Linked DNA regions of Nothobranchius furzeri. The protein of the gene in region 2 binds, or shares a complex with, the protein of the main gene of each other region. Links are inferred from orthologs where the notes say so. Each region holds a gene or a part of one and is shown on either strand. Other genes may lie near its edges. The genes, in order: mad2l1bp, mad2l1 and mad1l1.

Region 1 (4,117 bases), on a different chromosome or scaffold from region 2:
GGCAAGAGGTCATCACATGCAGAGTAAAGACGGAGGTATAATAGAAGAGGTATGCATACAGCACTGATTGTTGTGAAGTCGTAAATATTGCCGTTACGCTGCAGTGTTCAGCATGCATATTGCAAGTATTTTACTTACCTTATGTCCCATCATGGTGTAAGTTTTCCCTGAGCCCGTTTGGCCATATGCAAACAAGCAGACGTTGAAACCTTCAAAAGCTGCTTTTATTACATCAGATCCCAAGTCCTGGAAAATCTGAAACAGGTGTAAAATATCCATTTTACACATTTATAGAAATAAAATGCAAGAAGTGGTTCAACACTGGTGCAAATAAGAGTTAAACAGATGAAACACAGACAGCACCTTCTCCTGGGAAGCAAACGTGGAGCTTTTACTGTCAGTTGAGTCAAAAGAGAAGTCAAAAGAAAAGATTTTGCCTCTGTCCTTCAACTTGTCTCCACGTAAAGAAGAAGGCTGAAATAAAAAAAAAATCACTCAAATGAACTCAAGTAGAATTCATTCTGTGACGGTCTAGCCTACCTTATGAATGGATGCGGTGTTCTCCTTCATATGCACAATCACCTTTGATGACAACTGTTTTTCTCTGCAACAAGCCGTGCAAAAGTTTGTTTTCTGTTTTCCTGTTAAAATAATAAGTCACTCTGTTCTACTGACCTTTTGTTCAAAGGGCGCACTCTCACCGCGACCTGAACTGAAGACATTATTAATCAAACCAGACAGACGAAGAGCCAACGTCCCGTTGCTAGAGTTTTAAGCAAACCTTGTCCTTGTTTGTTACCACCTAATCTAATCATCACACCTGGAACTGATCCTCACGTTGTCGATGCAGTGCATAAACTGTCCACTAGAGGGTGTCTCAAGCACGTTCTCCGTTTAAATGTGCCTTGGGCAAGATCAGACAATACATCACTTCATAAATATTTACTTATAACAAAAACGTTTGGTTTCCAATTGACGAAACTGTCGTTTGGTAATATTACACGTGGTTGAATCTGTAGTGTGCAAAAAACAAATATCTGAAATGTCCTGCATTCACAATTCATAGGTTAAAAAGGCATTATAAGTCCTTGCAGCTGCTACCAGAAACAGAAGGGCTGTCAAATAACAACAAACGTTTTGTGTGAACCCAAAATATGATGATGATATAAATCGTTTCTTGAGAAGTAAAATAAATGAAACAAGAATAGTTAAATTATTGTAAGAACACCAGAGTGGCGTTGGGAAGCTTATTTTTTCCGATTTTGTGCTACGTAGCTTGAATGCGACATCTATTGGATTTCCCATGATGCAGTGCGAGAAAACACCGGCGCGGACTTTCAAAAATAAAACATGGCAGATAATTCTACTTGTTCAAAACCTACATCAGTCTCGGCGGCGGCCACAGAAACGGAGACCGCTGTTGACACCACGGGTGGCGGGATAAAGGGACGGCTCTCGTTTTCACCACAGAAGGATGTTAGCGTTGATGGAGAACCCGAAATAACGCCTTTAGGCGGCAGTGCGGAAAGTGTCTCCAACGTCTCCAGTTCATGGAGCCAGCCAGAGGGAAGAGCTGAACGACTCCCGTCTGATGCCAGCGACACATGTTCAGAGACGAAAAATGATGGTAAAATAAGAGAAGAGTGTCCAGAACAACGCAGAGGGAGTTCTACTGAAGCCAAAGAAAATGCTGCTGTTCCCACAACCACGTCTCAAGGCAGGTAGCATAGAGTTAGCTTACTTTCCTGCTTTTGATCCGTTTAGGCTAATGTGCAGCTATATTTGGTTTCATACCCAAACTGTTTCCTGATCAACTTAAAATAAGCTTGTGCCGGTCAGTTTGATCAGTAGGTAACGCCTGATGATGTCAGATGTCAACATAATATTTCAAATTATTGCTTGTGGACAAAACTAAATGCAACTGACCACATTAGATGTGCCCAATAACGCCAATAAAATATACATGTGATCACGGCTAGATGGATCGGGTAATTTCAGAACAAGAGAAACATAAAACAAGATGTTTAGAAAGATACAAGTTGTTAAAGTATGATTATTTCACTAAACCAGTTAGGGTTAGGGTTAAATATTAAAACTACAACATGAGAAGCACCAAGTAGAACCGTTGAATTTTCAGCACGGTTGTTGTAGTTAGATTATTTTTAAGGATCGTCTCATTTGAAATAAGATGTTTACCTCAAAAGTCCCTTAAGCTGTGTTTGCAATGTTCTTTCTCTTTAATTTGCATTACCTCAGCTTACGTGTCATCCATCAGTCTGCGTGGTTACACCTGACGCATTTATGTTCATTTAAGGCTCTTTTCATTATTGGTTACCTAAATGTTAAAAATAAAACTAGAGAAAAGAGTCAACATCAAGAATTAGTGGACCTAGTTTTCCTTTTATGTAAACTTTGGAATTATTTAAATGAAGAAATAAATAATGCATTTATTGTAAGATGTTGTTTTTGCTAAAATGTGGTTTTTAGATTCCTGGTTTACTTTTAAAGATGCCAAAAATTGTAAGGATATTTACCAACAGATGGTCAGTTTTCAAATCTAAAAAACTTTTTTGCACATTTTTTACTAAGAATTAAATATCAGATTTTTAATTGTGTCATGTGATGCAGTTCAACATTTTATTTAGGAAAAAATTGCCACGTGCATTGCAAACCACAATTGCAAAACTCAGTTAAATGTGACTTGTTAAATGTTAACATTTGCATATTCATCTTGACTTTTTAGTAGCAAAAACAAACATCTTGCACCATTTTTCCTTGAATCGCATTTGGAAACATTTGTGACTCAAAAGCCACAAAGAGGATTGAAAATTGCTCATGCAGATTCTTTTGAAATCTGTCACATTGATGTAACTCCTTTTTCATGGCTGACACAGCACTTCCTGTGGGGTTTAAAGGTGTCCCGCTGCATGACTCTGCTCCTCCTGACTGGAGTAAGTTAAAGGAAGGACACTCGTACACATTTCTGACACTGGTTGCAGAAAGAGTTCAGCATTTAAGATCAACTCCCTTAGTGGAGATGAGTCAGCACAATGTGGTGGTGTGTTGGGTCTTGTGATTGTGTGATTTAAAAGATTTGAGTCCTGCTGAAGCACAGGTCTCATAAATCTCAATAAGATGCGACTCTGTAAGTGATTTGATCTGATTAGAATCAAAAGTAATCTTCCTCCACAGCCTGATTTCACTCCTCATGTTAGTTTTTGAGACGAGTGAGCTCATCAGGTTTATCTGAATAATGGCTCTGATACATTTCATTAACGTTGACCGTGACGGGTCCATTACGCTCTGTAATAACTTTATTCTGGTTCTGGACAGATAATGCACAAGAGGACCCTTCTGAGCCGGATTTCGATCAGACTGCCAACAATCAGCAAGTTAACACAGAGGAAAATGATGCCGAGGTGGTGAGACGAGCACGGGAAGAAGGCTGTGTGGACGTGGCCTTCCCTGGAGCCGTAACTCAGAACAGCTGCTATCGTTTCGTCAGCGAAATCCTCAAATGCATTCTCTATCAGAGACAACAGCTACCCATGACATACGACCAGCTGGTCTATTCCCAGAAGAAGCTGCATACTACGGCACAGGTAATACATAAATGTAATGTCTCACTGTCAGGTGAATTTATTGTAGATTTGAGATTAACCAACAGTGCTTGGGACGTTCTGCTTCCCAGGATAAAGATGCAGTGAGTCGGAGGCTCGCACAGTCTGCCAATAAGGACCGGCGTAAATGCCATCAGACTCTCCAGGAGATGGAGGAGGTGCTGCAGCGACTGGAGGTGCTGTTTTCCTTGAGCAGGATCCCCCGTGTTTTACTGCTGATGGGCAGCTCGGTCATCCTCCCCAAGGAGATATACGAGATCAACATGGAGGCCCTGGTACTGGCCGATGGAAGTCAGCCTCTACGAGTGTCGTCATGCTTAAGGCAACTGTTCCGCACTCTTTTTGTCGCCGACCTTTTGTCCGACACCAAACCCGTTCGCTTAATGCCCACCACAGTGTTGGCGCTGGCCCACAGGGATTGTGGTGTGGACTGGTTCCGCCCTAAGATGCAGTTTAAAGTCCCAACGCGGGTAAAAAAGCAAGTGATTGCCCTGTCT
Region 2 (4,052 bases):
CTCACTTACTGAGGAAGAAGAAATCGCATTAGGGAGGATGCTAAAGATTTTGTTTCTAATAGAATTAATTTTACTTGTAAAAAATCCCATGAAGTCATTGCTGCTGAGGGCTAAGGGAATAGATGGCTCAGAGCTATGATTCTGTGTAAGTTTAGCAACTGTACTGAAAAGAAATGTAGGATTATTCTTATTCTCTTCAATTAGCTATGAAATATAAGCAGTTCTAGTTTGTCTAAGCTTATTTTTATAAAGCACAAGACTATTTTTCCAGGACAGGTAGGCCTCCTCATGGTGCGTAGAGCGCCATGTTCTCTCCAATTTCCTAGAGTTTTGTTTTAAAGCTCGTAAATGAGAATTAAACCAGGGAGCCAACTTCCTGTCCCTAATTACCTTCTTTTTTAAAGGGGCAACATCATCTAATGCCACACGTAAAGAGGAAGTAACATGATGAACTAAGGTATCAATTTGTGAGGGGCTAGAAATGAAAATATTGCCCTGTGCTACATGCCTCTGAGATGCTGAGGACAGTAAAGATGGAACAGTTGATTTAAAAGACGCAACTGCGTTGTCAGATAGAGACCGACTATAGTGAAATTTACTTTCATGTCTCGAGAACTCAACTCAAAGGTTATCAGAAAGTGGTCCGAGAGGACTGGATTATGTGGAAAGATCGTTATTTCCTCACACTCTATGCCATAAGTCAGCACAAGGTCTACTCCCTTCTGGCTAAACTCTTTCTCTGCCGTAGAAACTAGGGAGAGAGGTGCAGATTATTTAATCCGGCCTTCATAACAACCATTTACAACTATTTTATTTAGTCACTTGTTGGTTTGAGTCTTTACAGTGTTATAATTCTCCTGTCACAAGGTTCAGCTGTTTAAAGAGTCGGTGCAGGAAAATCCACCTCAGGACCTGCTTTTGTCCTCACACGCTTTAGCTGTTGTGTTCAGGCAGTCATTTAAACTCTCTTATAAAAAGACGGAGGTCAGACAATAAGCCGGTGACTTCATGGGAAAAACACTTTATAAGTTAAAATAAAATAACTTACATACAATAAAAACTAGATACAAGGATTAACCATCCATCCATTGTCCTCCTCCCATCTGGGCTTTGGTTGCAGACGTGACCCTGTGTGGATGAGCGGATGCAGAAAGCGGATGGCTCTACGGTTACACTTATCTACACTGCCCTCTAGGGGCATACAGATGTAAACGCAGCACTAGGGCGTGATCGGCACAAAAACGCGCATGCGCGTAGTGTCCAGCTGACACATTTTCAAAGTAGACGGCGGGTAGTTGAGTCGTACATAGAATCAGCACAAAGCTTCCTCGAGGAAAGCCAACCAGTAGCAGTTGGAAAGATGACCAGCACGCTGAAGGGAATCACTCTGAAAGGAAGTACAGAACTAGTGGCCGACTTCTTCTGTGAGTGTTCATGTCTCTGTTCCGCCTTTTGAACGCCGTTGACACGACGCGCAGCTAGCATGCTAGCGGGCCTCGGTGTGGCTCACCCAGCGTTGCAAGCTAAAGTCTGGTAAAGGGATACAAACGTGTTGCCTGAAGGTTTTTAAACAGGTCGGTGCTCTTACAGGTAGCGTTTCTGATATTTAGCATTTGGTGTAACTTTAACGTCAGTTGAACGTGTTGGAGGCAGTCCGCTCCGCTGGTGCAGAAATCCCGTTGAAAGACGAAAAAGAGCTCCGTTTACAGGTAAAACTGCACTGTTCTTGTGTGGCTTGTATGCCGAATCGATTAGAAGAGCGACATCAGTTAAATATATCGTGCTCTTATTCTACAACTTGTGTATATTCCTAGCAATCTTTGTGAAAGCTACATTTACCCGTTTAATGGACGATGTTTGGTCCAGGATGGAGTTGCTTCACACTGAAGATTCTTTACTCTTCATATTTAAATATTGCATACTTGACTCTTCCTATTCTAAACCAATCTCTGCTCACACACACACACACACACTCAGGTGCAGCAAATACAACGTACAAATGTTTTGTTTGTTCACAAAGATTTTAAAAGTTTAGCATAAAATAAGAAGGCAGGAAAACTTAAAATATGACTAAAAAATCCCTAAAGTAAAACGGGGAGTGGCCCCCTTATATCAGTTTTCTATTGGGCCATTCCCATCTGTACCAGGCCGGGTAGCCCCAGTCGGCCCCAGCCTGGCCCGGTTGATTCCACACATCCTTGCCTTAAGCCCATGTGGGCTGATTCTACCCACCAATCAGAGGCTTGCTCTAATGGAAGGTGTGAATTTGCTGTCAGCAGTGGGTGTGTTGGCCCTGGTCGGCCTGAAGCAGACCCCCTCGAGAAGAGGGCTGAGAATGAGCCTTGGTTGGCCCGGAAACATACCAGGCCACCCAGATATGTAAACAACCTACGCTACCCGGGCCGACCCGGTACAGATGGGAATGGCCCATATTTCTAGTCACAACCACCATGGTATACAAACACGTCGGTCTTCGTTCTGCAGAAACTCTTTACACTGACATGAGTCATAGGTGACTCGCTTTGCAGCACAGATGATGAGTAGACAAGCTTTAGTTTGACTGCTTGAATCAGAGATGTGCAGATGTGATTAACAGGAAACATTTCCCCCTCATTAGATCGTCTTATTCCTGTAATGAAGGGTTCTTGTGTTCTAAAACATGACGTGAAACTGCCCTCTGTTCTCCTCAGCCTTTGGCATCAACAGCATCTTGTATCAGCGGGGCATCTATCCTCCAGAGACGTTCTCCAGAGTCACACACTATGACATGAGTCTGCAGGTCACCACTGACTCCAAGCTGAAGAACTACCTGACCAACGTGGTGTCTCAGCTCAAAGGTAATTAGCTGACCGACCAACTCCGACTGGAGCTTATGCGTCCTCAAAGAGTGCCCAAACAGAGGTCAGAGGTGTGTTTGACTCGAGGGAATGCTCCTCTGTTCTTTGAGCTTTAGGCTCCACCCACATTTACCTTGTTGTTGAATCTAGGCAGCTTGGGGTCTCTACTGTAGCGTACCAAACCCAGTTGTGAAGCAGTAATGTTGTAATGGCCACGGAGAAACCGTTCGCTCTGAGACGAGCTTAGAGACGCCACCTTACATCTGCATGTGCCAACCCGCGGCCATGCTAGCTACAAATGTTTCGGTAAGCTTACCGCCGTCCGTTATTTCTGTTTATGTGGAGCTGAGAACCGACCCACTCCAAAACCAGATAACAGGTATGGGTGCCTGCAGCGGCCAAAAGGCCTCAGAAACTACCATCTGCTACTGTCTTTCCCTAATCAGTGATTTCAGCCATGTTTGCCTTTCTAACTGTAATAACTCTGCTGTATGACCCACGCCAGCATCACCTACTGTGGTGGACGTATTCATGCCTTCAAATGAGCTCATGTTGTTTTCACCTGGGCAAGAAAAACAAAATGACCAGATAATCATGACATGTCCCACCTCTTGTATTATGTCCCCCAAGCTAGACAGGTGTTGTCAAAAAAATCGATACCTAGATATAAATTGATACTAAAAGTGGTATCGATATTATAGACTATTATACACAGCCTTCTTCAAGTACACCGACACGCACGACATCCAGATGCCGTAAAGCAGCCTCCCCTTCCCAGACAAACAGAAGAAGCTGCCGCATGGCTACATTGCAATTTCCCACGCGAGTTGTCTCCGATCCAAGTTTTGTCTGCCAAATAAATAAACAAAAACATAAACATCAAATTTGGGAGGTGCTTCACAGCCCAACTTAATTAGCATACCAAATCCGGCACGTAGTTGTGTATTCACGCTTATGTGCTTAAAGGAAAACTCCCGTTTATTGCAACCCGGACTTAATTCTAGCATGCAGTACGTTTGTTTACTCACGCTGACAACTTTGGTGCTGCTTGGATTCCCCGGGGTATTTAGATCCATTAGCGAATCGCCATCAGTGTATATCCATATAACGGGAGCGGACAGGCACCCATGGTGCAGCCTCGAAATAAGACATTATCTGCACCAAAACATCTCAATGTCGAAAGTTTTTTTTTTTTTAGGAATCGTTAACATGATT
Region 3 (3,592 bases), on a different chromosome or scaffold from region 2:
AATCCACAAAACATATGTAGATTGGTTGGGCAAATTCCCACGCACCTTCCAGGATCCCCCTAAGGTTATAGAGCTGGTCCAGTGTTTCACAGACATGTAAGTGTTCCAGCAAAAACTAAATAATCCATTGGTGGCTTCATAACAAATAACTGTCTCATGAAATACAGTTTGTTTAGCTAAAATACTCACCTCATTAAGATAAACCAACTCATGTAGGTGAGAAAACATAGGAGTGAAAACCTGGTCAGTTTACCTACTGATGTGAAAATATCTACAGAAGGAAAGAGATTTGTTTGATAATGTTCACGACTGAAGTGTCTGCAAGCTTTCAGGGAAGACAAAAGCCAATCTCTCCTTAACCAAGCACCAATGTGTGCAAATCTCGGGATGCAGCTTTAAGGATGACAAGAAAAAAATAAAATTTCATAATAAATTATGTTTCATAACCAGTTGAAAAAATGACTAAAGACAAACACATCCATTGCACTTCAAACATTTTCACACATTCCTGTTAAACTCGGTCATCTTCTAAAAAAGATTTTCACACCAACCTTGAATAAATCCTTCAGAAAATCTATGAGTGATATGAAGTGTGAATGTAGCAGGTAATCTTTTGAAGAATTACACAAAATGGAAAAAAAATGGCCAAAATGTCCCAGTGAAATTGGAGGTTTTGCTTTCAGGCAACCTTGATTGGTTACTAAAAGGTCAACTAGACAGTCCTTTCTATTTAGGTAATTTAGTGTTAGTTTTAATGTAGAACGCTGGTTATTTAATATGACACAAGGTGGTGCTTTAGATGCATTTTGTCAAGAAAAAGAAAAAGAAATACAGCAGAAAAGGACGGCAGAGCAGCCAAATGGTGTGTGGGTGTGGGGTGGGAAAAGACAGCCACATTTTGGAAGACAAATTGGCCAACAGACGTTCACCAATGACCTGCCCAATTTCATATTTAACCCTGCCATAACTACACGCCCTTGTTCTAACTGCCTGTCTTACACTAAACTATGGAGACAGGGGCCAGAGGAACCTGAAATATTAATGCAGCATTCCCAGCAGAAATAGGGTACTAAAACATTTTTAATACTCATGTGTTGCTGACTTTACCCCAGTGCTGTTTTCTCAGGTAGGCCACCTGAAACCCGCCCAACAACATTACCAGAGCAAGTCACCCCTAAATAAACTGTTGTGTTTATTGATAAATTAGTGTATCTAATTTAAAATTAAAATATTCAAGTTGAAGCTCCAAATTCAGCTTTAAACTGTCAAGTGTTGCGTCCTCTTTAGGCAAAAACTGTACAACATTGAATCTGAATCAGCCATTACTACTGGCTAAGAAGTGTCCTGTGATGTTACAGGTAGGGGTGTATATCTTACAACAACCAGTGTTTCCCCTAGGAATTTTTCCAGCTGTGGTGGTGGTGGGGTGGGGGGGATTATGACACGTCTCACCTTTATGTTAATATTGTTTTATTTGATGCACTCCATTTTGAACTGCACCAATCCAGCAACTTCTGCATTTTAATAACTAGTATTAAAGGTGAATACACTAATATTTGCACAAGAATAGTTTTTGTTATGAACTGTCAGTGACACACTTTGCGGGGGGGGGGGGGGGGGCATTTAATTTTTCTTGGTGTCAGGAAAAACATCTCCTTCTGTCCCCCTTTCAAATAATTTAAGATACCCGACGGAGCGGAGGCAGTGACCAACGCATGCACAAGCCGTTTTCAGCTCTGTCTTGTCAAATACACCACGTACGTTACGAAAAACGTAACTTTAAATATTCAACCGAAAAAGAGGCGAGCTGAAGAAAACCTAGGGAGTACCGAAGAAACTTGAGCAACAGTGAAGCAAGCACAGAGAGATCTGTTACTGTCTGTGTGTGTGGGCCGGAGCAGTTTTGTGTGTAGGGAGGGGCGGGCACTCCATGTGACTGGCCAATCACAGAGCGTGAAGGCAGTCAGTTACCCAATGAGGATTTTTCTTCAGCACAATTACAGATATTTATGAGTTTTACTCCTTTCATGCTCGTATTCATCAAAAATGCTTTATCCGCGGCTCATCCCTAGCTGTAACCACCCTGCCCTGCCTCCTCCTCCTTGCTGCCTGCCAGCTGTGATCACAAGCAACAACAGAGTAGTTCCCGCTGCTTCTTCGGGAAACAGCAAAAACAAAAATAATAATAATTTAATAAATAAATAAAAATAAATAAATCTATAAAACAGGATCTTGCAGGCGTGGCGCTGGGATTTCAGTCATGGCGGGCCGCCACGGCTACGCCTATGTAAGGGAAACACTGACAACTCACGATTTAATTTGATTCCAATTCTCAGGGTGACATTCAGAATCGATTCTTGATTTAAATTAATTAATTAATTTAATTAATGAATTAAAATTCACAATCAATACTCTTAAGTAACAAAGTGTGTAAGTTAGAAGTCTGCCAGGTGTCGCTGATGTATTGAGCACTGAATGTGATGAAGGAGTGGGTTGCTCTGGAAGTCCACCCATCACTTGCTAGAATGATCAGTACGGAAGCCGTTTACTGGCAAACAGTATGGGCAGCTAATAAGCTAGGACATTTTGAGAAAATGCCTTCTTAATTTTGGATCTGTTAGGATGCATTGCGTAGTGGCTGCTTAAAGTTGGGACACCATGGACAAACTCCAGTCAGAGAATCCTTTATCAGTTCTAGTTTGATGAACTAAACAAGTCATGAAAGAAAGAAAGAAAGAAAGAAAGAAAGAAAGAAAGAAAGAAAGAAAGAAAGAAAGAAAGAAAGAAAGAAAGAAAGAGAAAAATTCATCATTCAACATCAAGCGTGTTATCGTAAAACATCACAAATGAGGAGGAGGATTCCTGTCACTCCGTGTAAAATACTTGTATCACTTTGCCTTTGATCAGCTACACATCATTCAACAGACTGCATGGCCGTGTGTCCAATGGGCAAGCAGCACAAACCATTGGGCTAAGACAATACAACACGCTGAATTTCTCTGATATGTGATCGTAGTAATCCACATGTCCTTCGTAGCATACCAAAGCACTCTTAACACACCACAGGAAAATTGTATACCTCATTTGCTTATTTTCAAAGCTATTACGATAATCAGGAGCATCCTTATGATTGTTCAAAGGAGAGAATCAAATAAAAAATCAGCATAATGTCTTTGCGTGTGAACCAGGACTTACAAGTTTATGCTCACAGTACATAAGTTTAGAGTTATTTTAGTTAGAGTGTTTATGAATACCTCTCAGAGTGTTGAACTTACCCAGAACTTCTTCTGATGGAGGTAAATTAAGGTTGAGGCTGGAGGTTATGTAGGAGTCACCTTGTGAAAGACCTACTGCGCCTCCATCCTGCAAGGAACGCACAAGTTCCCTGAGCCGTGTCACTTCCTCTCGAAGTACCTCCACATCCTGTTGGCGCTGTTGCTTAGCAGCAGCAGTGGGGTTCATTTTCAGGTGAACTACGCGGGTCTTGACTGGATCATAGTCTCCCTGAGACACACACAGACACAGAAATCAATCAACAATATAGATTTCCTTTACAGCCCTTTAGCTCGGCTTTATTATTTTTTCTTCCAAC

What was found.
Region 1: the proteins of mad2l1 (region 2) and mad2l1bp are in contact, whole or in part, in a crystal structure (PDB 2QYF), measured with the Homo sapiens proteins. The link is inferred for Nothobranchius furzeri from reciprocal best matches to the Homo sapiens genes MAD2L1 and MAD2L1BP. Residues at the interface, in NP_002349.1 of Homo sapiens: Tyr33, Arg45, Thr52, Leu54, Lys122, Asp126, Glu127, Arg129, Ser130, Arg133, Gln134, Thr136, Ala137, Thr138, Thr140, Phe141, Leu142, Leu144, Glu179, Val181, Arg182, Leu183, Arg184, Tyr199, Asp205; in NP_055443.1 of Homo sapiens: Pro61, His79, Tyr82, Gln83, Gln85, Pro88, Leu89, Pro90, Gln93, His96, Ala185, Leu187, Arg188, Phe191, Arg192, Phe195, Asp198, Ala199, Phe200, Ser201, Glu202, Leu203, Gln204, Ala205.
Region 3: the proteins of mad2l1 (region 2) and mad1l1 are in contact, whole or in part, in a crystal structure (PDB 1GO4), measured with the Homo sapiens proteins. The link is inferred for Nothobranchius furzeri from reciprocal best matches to the Homo sapiens genes MAD2L1 and MAD1L1. Residues at the interface, in NP_002349.1 of Homo sapiens: Tyr38, Leu61, Tyr64, Asn67, Val68, Trp75, Gln82, Lys83, Ser89, Ile91, Glu92, Ser93, Gly94, Arg99, Gln101, Ser150, Phe151, Asp152, Leu153, Leu154, Ile155, Tyr156, Thr157, Asp158, Lys159, Asp160, Leu161, Val163, Lys166, Trp167; in NP_001013858.1 of Homo sapiens: Glu527, Arg528, Ala530, Leu531, Gln532, Gly533, Asp534, Tyr535, Gln537, Ser538, Arg539, Thr540, Lys541, Val542, Leu543, His544, Met545, Ser546, Leu547, Asn548, Pro549, Thr550, Ala553, Arg554, Leu557.

Annotation. Positions count from the first base shown.
Region 1 is NC_091752.1:317,476-321,592, reverse strand, and holds the start of mad2l1bp (MAD2L1-binding protein), read left to right. Parts: upstream 1-1,309; 5' UTR 1,310-1,350; coding exon 1,351-1,717; intron 1,718-3,333; coding exon 3,334-3,602; intron 3,603-3,691; coding exon 3,692-4,117. Other genes in the region: uncharacterized protein kif16bb, read right to left, coding at 139-255, 364-474, 541-604, 676-722. UniProt on the Homo sapiens protein: May function to silence the spindle checkpoint and allow mitosis to proceed through anaphase by binding MAD2L1 after it has become dissociated from the MAD2L1-CDC20 complex.
Region 2 is NC_091743.1:87,157,299-87,161,350, reverse strand, and holds the start of mad2l1 (mitotic spindle assembly checkpoint protein MAD2A), read left to right. Parts: upstream 1-1,223; 5' UTR 1,224-1,360; coding exon 1,361-1,424; intron 1,425-2,690; coding exon 2,691-2,837; intron 2,838-4,052. UniProt on the Homo sapiens protein: Component of the spindle-assembly checkpoint that prevents the onset of anaphase until all chromosomes are properly aligned at the metaphase plate.
Region 3 is NC_091744.1:8,599,056-8,602,647, forward strand, and holds part of mad1l1 (mitotic spindle assembly checkpoint protein MAD1), read right to left. Parts: intron 3,505-3,592; coding exon 3,276-3,504; intron 1-3,275. UniProt on the Homo sapiens protein: Component of the spindle-assembly checkpoint that prevents the onset of anaphase until all chromosomes are properly aligned at the metaphase plate.